Callithrix jacchus: one gene and its partners. The protein of the gene in region 2 interacts with the protein of the main gene of each other region in a pairwise test. Links are inferred from orthologs where the notes say so. Each region holds a gene or a part of one and is shown on either strand. Other genes may lie near its edges. The genes, in order: WAS, ITSN2 and KHDRBS1.

Region 1 (3,051 bases), on a different chromosome or scaffold from region 2:
GGTCAAAACTCCCGTGCTGATCAATAGTGGGATCGTGCCTGTGAATAGCCACTGCACTCCAGCCTGGGCAACATAGTGAGACACCATCTCTAAAAAAAAAGAAAAGAAAGAAAAGTTGATGGGGAGCCTTGAAGGGGACTGGAGTGTGTGGAAGGGAAAATAATGATGGAGGGGCAGGGAGAAATGCTCCTTTCCCAGGCCCTGAACCCTCTGTGCTGACCCCTGCCTGCTGCAGACCCCTGGTACCACAGAGAGCTCAGCACTGCAGCCACCACCTCAGAGCTCAGAGGGACTGGTGGGGGCCCTGATGAATGTGATGCAGAAGAGAAGCAGAGCCATCCACTCCTCCGGTGAGTTGATCCTGCCAGGGCCTCAAACCTGGCTCCCAGGGCTAGCACTGGCCTCAAAACAATCCCAGCAGTCACCACCAATACTGACATTAGTCCCATCTGTTGACAGCATTAACATGAATCTTGTGTCAGTCTCCTTTTTGACAATGTTAACATTAAGTCATTATGTGACAATAATATAATTAACTCCAACTTTGACAATAATATTAACATTAATGCCAGGGTGTGTCCACAATATTAAGGTTATTCCCTTATGTTCAGTAACATCAGCTGGCCGGGCACGGTAGCTCATGCCTGTAATCCAGGAACTTTGGGATGTCAAGGCAGAAGGATCCCTTGAGCACAGGAGTTCGAGACCAGCCTGGGCAATATAGTAAGACCTCGTCTCCACAAAAACTAGAATTTTAAAAAAGTAGTTGGGCATAGTGGCAAGTACCTGTGGTCCCACCTACTTGGGAGGCTGAGGTGGGAGGATTGCTTGAGCCTGGGAGGTCAAGGCAGCAGTGATCCATGATTGTGCCACTGCATTCCAGCCTGGGTGACAGAGATCTTATCTCAAAAAAAAGAAACATTAACCCACTATGTGATGAAAATATTATGAAGAACACCATTGTTGACAATAATATTAACTTTAAGTCCACGTGTCAACAGATTTATATTAATTCATTATGAGATAATAATCTTATAATGTAATATTTTTTCTTAAATGCTTTGAGACAGGGTCTTGCTCTGTGTCCCAGGCTGGAGTACAGTGGTGCAATCATGGCTCACTGCAGCCCCAACCTCCCAGGCTCAAGCGATCCTCCTGCCTCAGCTCCCAGAGTAGCTGGGACTACAGGCATGGACCACCATACCCAGCTCATTTTTGATGCTTTTTTGGTAGTGATGAGAGCTCACTATGTTGCCCAGGTTGTTCTGCAACTCCTGGGCTCAAGTGATCTGCCCACCTCAGCCTCTCAGAGTGCCGGGATTACAGGCATGAGCCATCATGCCTGACTGTTAACCTTATCTTTTTATGATAATGTTACTATTACTCTCTTAATGTGTCAGTAATACTGTCACTAATCATTATATGATGATAATATTAATCTCAACCCACTAAATGATAATAATACAATTAACTCCAATTTTGACATTAATGTTAACAACATTAACCACAGTGTGTCCACAGATTAAGGTGAATCTATTATATGACAATATTATAGGAACTTCATCTTTTGACAATGATTTTTTTTTTTTTGAGACAGACTCTTGCTCTGTGACCCAGGCTGGAGTGCAGTGACACGATCTTGGCTCACTGCAGCCTCTGCCTCCTGGGTTCAAGCTATTCTCCTGCCTCAGCCTCCTGAGTAGCTGAGACTACAGGTGCACCACTACGCCCAGCTAATTTTGATAATGTTATTGTCATTAACCTCATTATGTGTCAAAAATATTAGCATTAACCAGACAAAAAACAATAATAAATTATCCTGCCTTTGCTAATAATATTTAAATTCACTCCAATAAATAGGTTAACATTAACCCTTTATTTGACAACATCTGGACTAACCACATTTTTGACAATATAAACTTCAACTCCAATTAGAACTCAGACCCTACCTATAATTCCTCTCTTGTCCCAAATGGAAACTCTAATGTACCATCTTCTAGCAGGAGACCTCAGCCCCCCAGGGTCAAGTCCTTACCTCCCAGACCCTATGAAGCCCCCCACCAACCTCCCAGGGCATCTTTCTCTTTCCCTCCAGATGAAGGGGAGGACCAAGCTGGCGATGAAGATGAAGATGATGAATGGGATGACTGAGTGGCTGAGCTGTTGCTGCCCTGCGCTCCTACCTGTAGGAAATGGCTCCCCTTCTACCTGCTCTGTGCCCACCCTCCACTCTCCTCTTCCAGGCCTTCAACCCTCATTTCTTCCCCATCAACCCCTCCAATGCTGTTATTGCCGCCTGGTCCTCACACTCACCCTAGCAATCCCAAGGCCCCTTTTATAAAAAAAATTCTCAGTTCTCTTCACTCAAGGATTTTTAAACAAAAATTAAAAGAATTGTCTTTTTGTCTCTCTATAATTCTCAGTCTGTTTACATTCCAAATGTGGGTCTCTTTCCACCAAAGTTCCTTTTATTCATTTAGCCTTACATGTATATATATATATTCATTCACTAATTTATTCCCTTGGTCAATTAGCCTGTATTTCTGTGTTTCCTTCTGCCCCTCTGTCTTTCAATAAACATTTATTGCCAAGTACTATTTTAGGGGCTAGGGATCAAGCAGTGGAAGAAAACAGCCAAAAATTCCTGCCCTTATGGGGTGAAATCCACATTCTAGGGGAGGAGGCAGAGAAGAAACAAGAAATCAAATAGAAATAAAAAAATAATTGCAGACTCATGATAAATGCTGTGGAGTGGTAAGGCAGAGATACAGATGAAACAATATTCAGATGGAGAGATCAGGGAAAGCTACTTCGAGGAGGTGATGGTGGTGCTGTACCTAAAGAGACAGAAATGTCGGCCAAGTGAATATTTGGGGAAAAAGGGTTCCAGGCAAAGGGAGCAGCCAGTGCAAAGGCCCTGAGGTGAGAAAAAGCTTGACATGAGGCCAGATGTCATGCATTTAATTATTTTTTTAAAAAATCATTAAATCGGCCACAGTGGTTCATGCCTATAATCCCAGCACTTTGGGAGGCCAAGGCGGACGGATCACC
Region 2 (3,654 bases):
TGAAAAAACACATAAAGAGCTGCAACTATAGCAGCCAGGAAGCTGGCAGGAGGCCTGGGCAGGAGGGCAGGCTGCATGGGGGCCGGGTGGGGAGGAAGGGTGGAGGTGCAGCTGGCTCAGAGCACAAGCCTCCCATGAGCTGCACAGGCAGGCCTGGCACAGCTGGACATACAGCAGGGAGGCTGGAGAAGAATGGCAGTTCTGGTCTGAGGGCCACGGCAGAGCGGGGTTGTGGGGGGTGCTTTACAAAGACCATGGCAGCTCCACTGAGCAGGTGAGTAAGCTGTGCCATGAACAGAGAGGACACTACGAATATAACAAATCTGGAGCCCCACCGGCCTAAGTTACATGCTGGGCCTGGCGGGGCAGGGGGTTGCCTTCGGGGAGCTTATGGCCATTACATGAGAAAAGCGGGGGCTCGGGGCGCAAGCAGAGACAACAGAGGATGAGAATCCAGAGACAGAATGATCACAGCCTTAGGACAGCGGGGGCTCCAGGTAGAAGTCATGCTGGTCAAGGCATGAGGGAAGGTGACATGGAGGACACCTTGATGTGAGCCTTGAAGAATGGGAAGAATTTAAGGTGGGGACAGAGCACTTCTGCTGGAGGAGGGGTGTGCGTGGGAAGGCTGGGCAGGGCAACGATGGGCTGCTCAACTAGGCAGGTGGATGGCTGGACACAGGAAAGAGCTGGAAATGGGGCTGGGTGGCACGTAATAGTGGGGATGGGCCCTCAGTGTGCGGCAGGAAATGTGTCCTGAATTTGGGAGGTGCTAGGGAAGATACTTCAGCAGGAAGAGGTAAGAGCAGCTCTGGAAAGAATACTCCAGAAATGAAGAGGATGGGTGACAGAGAGGAAAGAGAGCCTTGTGCTGCAGCCTGGGTGGGAGATCGGGGGCCTGTGACATGGGGGCAGGAGAGCAGGGCGATGGGAGAATGGTGAGGGAGGAGCACTGCAGGACCTGCAGCTGACCGGGTGTGAGGCATCAGGGAGGGGCCTGGGTGACTGGGGACCACACTACTGTCCACATAGGGTCCTGGGAGGAGGAGCCACTGCTGGAAGGAGGCTGGTGGTCCCCCGGAAAGGCCAATGTGTGATGTGGGAGCAGTGGGGCAGGTGGTTCTAGAGGGCGCTGTTCAGAGGTCTGGGTTTCGAGGAGTGTGGCCAGCTGGACCACAGGGTCCAGAGAGAAGGCGGAGCCTCGGTGACTGCCATCAGTGCAGGGAGCTGGGGCAGGGAAAGTGAGCTGAGCCCCTAACTAGGCCACTGGTGTTGCTGACAGGACAGGACATGGACTGAAGTCTGGTGAGGTGAGAAGAGGGAGGAGGCAGGGGCAGGAGGAGGAGAGGGCAGACTTAGGGTCTAGTCCCCTGGCTGCCAAGGGAGAGGATGGATGGCGGAAGAGCAAGGGGGAGCAGGGGCTGCTGGGGAACTAAAGGGAGGCAAACCACAGGTTTGGCCTGCGATGGCCCAAGCAGAGGTGAGGTGAGGTGAGGTGAGGGTGAGGGTGAGAGGGTGAGAGGGTGAGGGGGTAAGGGTGAGGGTGAGGGTGAGAGGGTGAGGGTGAGGGTGCGGGTGAGAGGGTGAGGGTGAGAGGGTGAGGGTGAGGGTGAGGGTGAGGTGAGGAGGTGAGGGTGAGAGTGTGAGGGTGAGAGGGTGAGGGTGAGGGTGAGGGGGAGGTGAGGAGGTGAGGTGAGGAGGTGAGGTGAGGTGAGGGTGAGGTGGGGTGAGGTGAGGTGAGGTGAGGTGAGGGTGAGGTGAGGTGAGGTGTGGAGAGAAAGGACTGGAGAAGGTGTGGGGGAGGGGGAAGGGCAGAGCCAGCACTGCCAGCCCATGTTTGTGTGTGCAGGGGCCCAAAAGGGTTTGCAATGGTAGCTTCGAGAGGGGAGGGCTCTGTGGTCTGATCCTGCAGCAGGTCTGCTCTTTCACGCCCGTCCCCATTTCATCAGCTTGACTGCAGGAGGAGGTCCCTAGGGCCCCTGGGGGCTACATCCCACCCTCTGGGCACCCTCATACCTTGGTAAGCCTTCTCACGCTTCTTCTTCTCAGTGTCAATGTACTGCTCAGACGCTGCCTTGATCTTCTGCACCCAGGCGGTCCTGTGGGAGAAGCAGGGTTAGCTGTTGGCCGCTTCCCACCCTCATAGCTCAGCCCTGAGCCCCAGAGCTCTGCACATATTCTTCAGTCTTTTGCTAACCTCAACCTTCAAAAGTTTCCTATCAAAGACCTGATATTAGTCAACCGAAAGACGCTTATGCTTATCCAGCTGAGAACTGCTAATGACCCTTCTTGACTGATCACAAAACCCCAGGCACTCGCAAGGCGCTGGGACCCGGAGACACACAATGCACTGGCCCCACAGATGACCCTTGGCACTAGGGGTTCTAGCACACACAGAGGAGCAGCAGCACCCCCTGGGTTGGCATCGCGGAGGTGCTGTTGGAGCGGCAGCCTGAAGGAAGCTGGGAACGGCGGGGGCACACCCACACAAGGGCACCTGGGGGGCGGAGGCCTGCGGGTGGTGGGATGTGGGGCTGCAGCCGCGGACACCAGCAAAGCACAATGGACTGTGGCCTGTGGGCAGCCCCTGCAGGGCATGAGGTGCTGACTTGCCATTTGCAAAGACTGCTGAGTGGTGTGAGGAGAGACTAGAAGCAGGGAAACGTGTTAGGAGGCCGCTGCGGTGACCAAGGCCTACTGTGGGACTGGAGCAGAGGGGACGTGTTAAGAGAGGTTCAGGATACAGAGTAGTGGGGCTTGAGCACAGCTGAGGATGGGTTTATGGCAGAGGGAGATGTCCAGGCCTTCTCCCGGGGTTCAAGGCAGGCCACACATGGTCAGGACTGACCTCTCGTTAATGTTGTCTGTTCGGAGGGTGTAGACCCGATCAATGTGGGAGATGTGGAAGACAGGCTCATCGCTGGAAGGGTCTGTGGGCAGTTTCACCAAGACTTCATTCAGGAAAATGGGCTGAAAGAATTAGGGCCAAACACAGGCTGTGAGATGGGCCAGAACACTCCACCCACCTATGTCTAGAGAGAGTTCTGTTTGTTCTGAAGAACCTTGCTGAGGAGAAAAAGGGTCTAGGGTCTAAGTTCTTCCACACAGAACAAATTAAACCTCCATTTGTAAGAGTAATGAAGCCTCCATTTCTGTGAAAGTAATCACTGAGTTGGGTCAGGTGTTGGTTCTGGGGACAGGAGCTCCGAGTGCCCACAATTGCCGGTGCAAAAGGCTCTCTCTACTGCTACCAGTACTGGTGCTGTGCTTGGGCTCAGCTTATAGAGACCCAACGCTGAACATGGACAGCAGTGAGCCCAGGTGTCATGCTGGCCAGCTGGCCAGGTGAAAGCCAGAATCTCAGCTGGAGCCTGGCTGACAGCCAGCAGTGGGTGGGGAGAGCTTCCTGTGGGAAGTGGCTAAAGAAGCACGAGCCATCTGGAAAGAGGTGAAGAGGGTCCCATAACAACGGCTTAGGGTCAGCCAGGAAGGTCCTTAAGATAGAGATAACACCTCATTAGGCCCCTGATGCTACTGCCAGACACATGATACTAACCGTTTTATACATTTTGAATTGAGCACTGGACTTAGAGCTGAAAAGTTTCTCAGAGCCAGAGGAAACGGCAAACTGCTTGACCATATAGGTAAGAAGCA
Region 3 (3,654 bases), on a different chromosome or scaffold from region 2:
TTTCTGGGTGTCTCCATTATTTTTACCTGGGAACAGGTGGTGGAGGAGGTGCAGCTCCCCGGCCTCTCACTGGCACCCCACGTCCACGAGAGGGTTCAGGTACTCCATTTAAGTAGGACAGCTCTAGAAATTGCTCCTGGCAGATATCATCCATCATATCCTGGGAATGAAAGATACAAGGAGTACTGTGTGATATCTACGCTTTCAACTAAGAAACCATCTGGCCACAGGAGTCTTGAATTCTAAGAACAGCTTTGAGAGCTCAGATGAGGTCTCAGGTCATTCATTCTCTGAAGTCAAATGGCACCATACCTGTCACCTCTTTGAGAAAATCTTGATGGCAGACCCCTCATTATTCATAATGTGATCCCTGCCTAGCTTTCTGGATCACTGCCATTCTCCCTCTATATATAACCTCCACATAAGCTAGGCTGAACAACTTGTAGTTCAGAGCCTGGCATACTCTTACACATCCATTCTTTGCAAATAGTTCCTTTTCCTGGAATAATAAAAGCCACGACCTTTAACAGAGCTGTATGTACTTGGCTCTATATACTAACCTTTATATAAGTTTTTCAGTTTAACCTTTATATAAGTTTTTCAAAATGACCTTGAAGTAGGCAGATCTTCACATTTTACAGTTAGGAAAACAGACTCAAGAAATATACATCACCCAGACTAAGAACAGAGCTAATAAATGGCAGACTCTAGATGTGAATTCAGAATTACCTGTCTCAAAATCTAGGTGTTGGAGCAACAGGCTATATTTTCTTTTTTTGTCCACCTGAGGGACTCTTAACTCATCCTTACAAGACTTGTCTAAATAAGTGTCTCTTGAAAAGCTTTCTCTTGATGCCACCCCATAACTCCTCTTTTTCCAAAGTGCCATGTAATTCTCTGTACCCAAGCACTTACCATATCATTTTAATATTGTCTGTCACACATTGTAAGCTCTTCAGGAGCCATTTTTGTACCTTTATACCCAGGCATAGTATCAGACATCTGCCAGATATTTAACAAATGTTTGGGATGAATAAGGAACCTGAAGCTCAGAAAAGTGAAATGATAACCTGTCTAGGAAGACACAGAAAGAGAGACATATGTAGTCCTGTGCTCTTCCTACTGCAGCATGAAGCATTCCTGGTACAATTAATGGTTCTAAGGAGAAAATGGAGGGCTCTGGTTACAGATGCAAAAATTGCCTCGCTTTTTTTCTCCGCGAGAAGGAAGAATCAAGCGAAATGCCATTTGTAAATCTTTTCACTATTCCTCTTGAGAGCCAGTCTTAATACTTTATGCATTATTATATATCCCAGGCGTATACAGCTTCAACAGATGATTCTAGTCTTTGATGGCTCCCTCAACTCTCCACCTCCTCCTATCTTACACTCCACCTCCTCCTACCTTACACTGTGTATCTCAAGCATTACTGCTGCTTGAGATGCACACCTTGGAGAATCAAGTAACCAATACCAGACCACTGCTCAGACTCCTCCAACTATCACATCAACACTGAGGAAACCCAGATCTCCCCAGCAGGTATCTTTTTTAAAGGACTGACTTACATGGAAGCCTCATAAACCTAACACTTCTGAGGAATATGCTGGAGACCAACAATAAAGAGGAGATGGGCATTCTGTCTGGAGTCCTTTGGAAACTGAATGGCTTGGGTGTTCAATAGAACACCCCAAAGAGAGTAAAAAGAATTCCCTTGAAGAAAGATTAACTGGCTGTGTTTTTCTCTAGGATATTTTAAATAGTCTGTTTCATGTTGAACATTCTAATGAAGATGAGGTACTTGAAAACAAAGCAGCTGCTAAGACATTTGAAACTACTGGACTCCTTGGAGTTCAGCATAAATTTTTGCTCTGTCAACTTTCATATCCTCTAACACCAAATTTATTTCCAACTCCCTCATTTAACATTCAGGAAAACCAAGGACTGTTATCTTATCTCCTCTTAGTTTAATAATGAACACATGACACTTAATTCTAGTTGAATAATATTCCAAATCCTTCATAAGGTTCCAGATTCATCCTTGTTATTAAATATTCAACAGTAGTATGTTAACTTTGGCAACCACCAAGCCTTGCTAAAAGTCAAAAATAGTACCATTTCCTATTTATTCAAAGTAATATTCTGACCAGGTAGTACTAAGCAAAATAGATAAACTGGCCTGTCCCATCTCTATCTAGTCCTCAGTTACCGTCTGAAAAACGCTGCACACCAATCTGTTAAACATTGACAGTCAAGCCTACAACAATCATGCCTCGTCCAAAGCAAACTCCTCCAGGAGAGAAATCCCTGAGTGTGCTCAGGTCAGAATTTAATCCAGTAACACTAAATGCTATTAGCTTCTCGTTGCTAGCCTATACTCTACAGCATAAATTTCTTGAGTACAGGGACCCACCCTAGTCATGTTCTTAACACAATCTCCTTGTTCCACACTACTACCAAAATAGTCAGCTAGGTAAAGACCCTGTTAAACCTTAGTTAACCAAATATCAGAAAGCAGACACATTGTGGACCCAAGATACTGACAACAGATACAGGTACACAATGAAAACCACATTACACAAGGAGGCATAGAGTGGCCTTGGAGCATAATGCTTTGAGAACTAGGTACAAGTAATGAACTAACTCAGGAAAATGAACATAAATGAAGAATTTGGTATACATACAGGTTATACAGAGATCTTAGTTAAGAACCCCTACCTTCACAACAGCCTAAGATCCCAGTTCTCTTTTGCTCAGAAGACACAGAATATGGATTTCCTTACCGGTACCAGAAATTTCTTGACTTCCTCCATGGCATGGGCCATAAGAGCATAAGCCTCACATGGGGGTCCAAAGACTTCAATGAAGACATGCAGATCCATATTCAAGTGGGCATATTTGGGGTCTCCACCTTTGCGCAGCTCTTCCTCCTATGGAAAAACGCAGAGAAATGTCCTATCACATGGACTAGGGAGAAAACAACACCTTTACTTCTAACCCAAAGGAACAGCAAGAAATAACCCTAATGTCTAAGAAAAACAACAAAGTTTAATTGGTATGAGCTGAGAAGAGTTAAAAAAAAAAAAAAAAAAGAAAGAAAAACAGGAAAGTTTAAGAAAGTAAAACAAGAGGCCAGGTGCAGTGGCTCACATCTGTAATCCCAGCACTTTGGGAGGCCCAGGTGGGCGGATCATGAAGTCAGGAGTTTGAGACCAGCCTGACCAACATGGTAAAACCCCATCTCTACTAAAAATACAAAAATTAGCCAGGTGTTGTGGGACGCGCTTATTATCCCAGATACTCAGGAGGCCGAGGCAGGAGAATTGCTTGAATCCAGGAGGTGGAGGTTGCAGTGAGCCGAGATTGCACCACTTCACTCCAGCCAGGGCAACAGAGCAAGACTCCGTCTCAAAAAAAAAAAAAAAAAAAAAAAAAGAGTAAAACAAGCTCTGAAAGTAAAATAAGCTCTGAAGAATAGTAATTTGCACAACCTGCTAAACGTGCACGTGGTCTGCTGCTAACAGTTAATTGCTGTCTTAAATCACTGAGCTATCCACTGGAGCTCTTATTAAAAGCATAAAGAAGAAAAACTTAATTCTAGTCTCTATTAAGATAATAGCTGTTTGCTGTTTTAAATCTCAGGTAGAGCTGTTAATC

What was found.
Region 1: the proteins of ITSN2 (region 2) and WAS interact in a two-hybrid assay, tested with the Homo sapiens proteins (2 studies listed by BioGRID). The link is inferred for Callithrix jacchus from reciprocal best matches to the Homo sapiens genes ITSN2 and WAS.
Region 3: the proteins of ITSN2 (region 2) and KHDRBS1 interact in a two-hybrid assay, tested with the Homo sapiens proteins (2 studies listed by BioGRID and IntAct, with this or other methods). The link is inferred for Callithrix jacchus from reciprocal best matches to the Homo sapiens genes ITSN2 and KHDRBS1.

What each region holds. Positions count from the first base shown.
Region 1 is NC_133524.1:49,258,382-49,261,432, forward strand, and holds the end of WAS (actin nucleation-promoting factor WAS), read left to right. Parts: intron 1-235; coding exon 236-350; intron 351-2,095; coding exon 2,096-2,151; 3' UTR 2,152-2,412; downstream 2,413-3,051. UniProt on the Homo sapiens protein: Effector protein for Rho-type GTPases that regulates actin filament reorganization via its interaction with the Arp2/3 complex. Important for efficient actin polymerization. Possible regulator of lymphocyte and platelet function.
Region 2 is NC_133515.1:91,037,368-91,041,021, reverse strand, and holds part of ITSN2 (intersectin-2), read right to left. Parts: coding exon 3,557-3,654; intron 2,971-3,556; coding exon 2,849-2,970; intron 2,100-2,848; coding exon 2,017-2,099; intron 1-2,016.
Region 3 is NC_133508.1:68,645,302-68,648,955, reverse strand, and holds part of KHDRBS1 (KH domain-containing, RNA-binding, signal transduction-associated protein 1), read right to left. Parts: intron 2,928-3,654; coding exon 2,781-2,927; intron 161-2,780; coding exon 27-160; intron 1-26. UniProt on the Homo sapiens protein: Recruited and tyrosine phosphorylated by several receptor systems, for example the T-cell, leptin and insulin receptors. Once phosphorylated, functions as an adapter protein in signal transduction cascades by binding to SH2 and SH3 domain-containing proteins.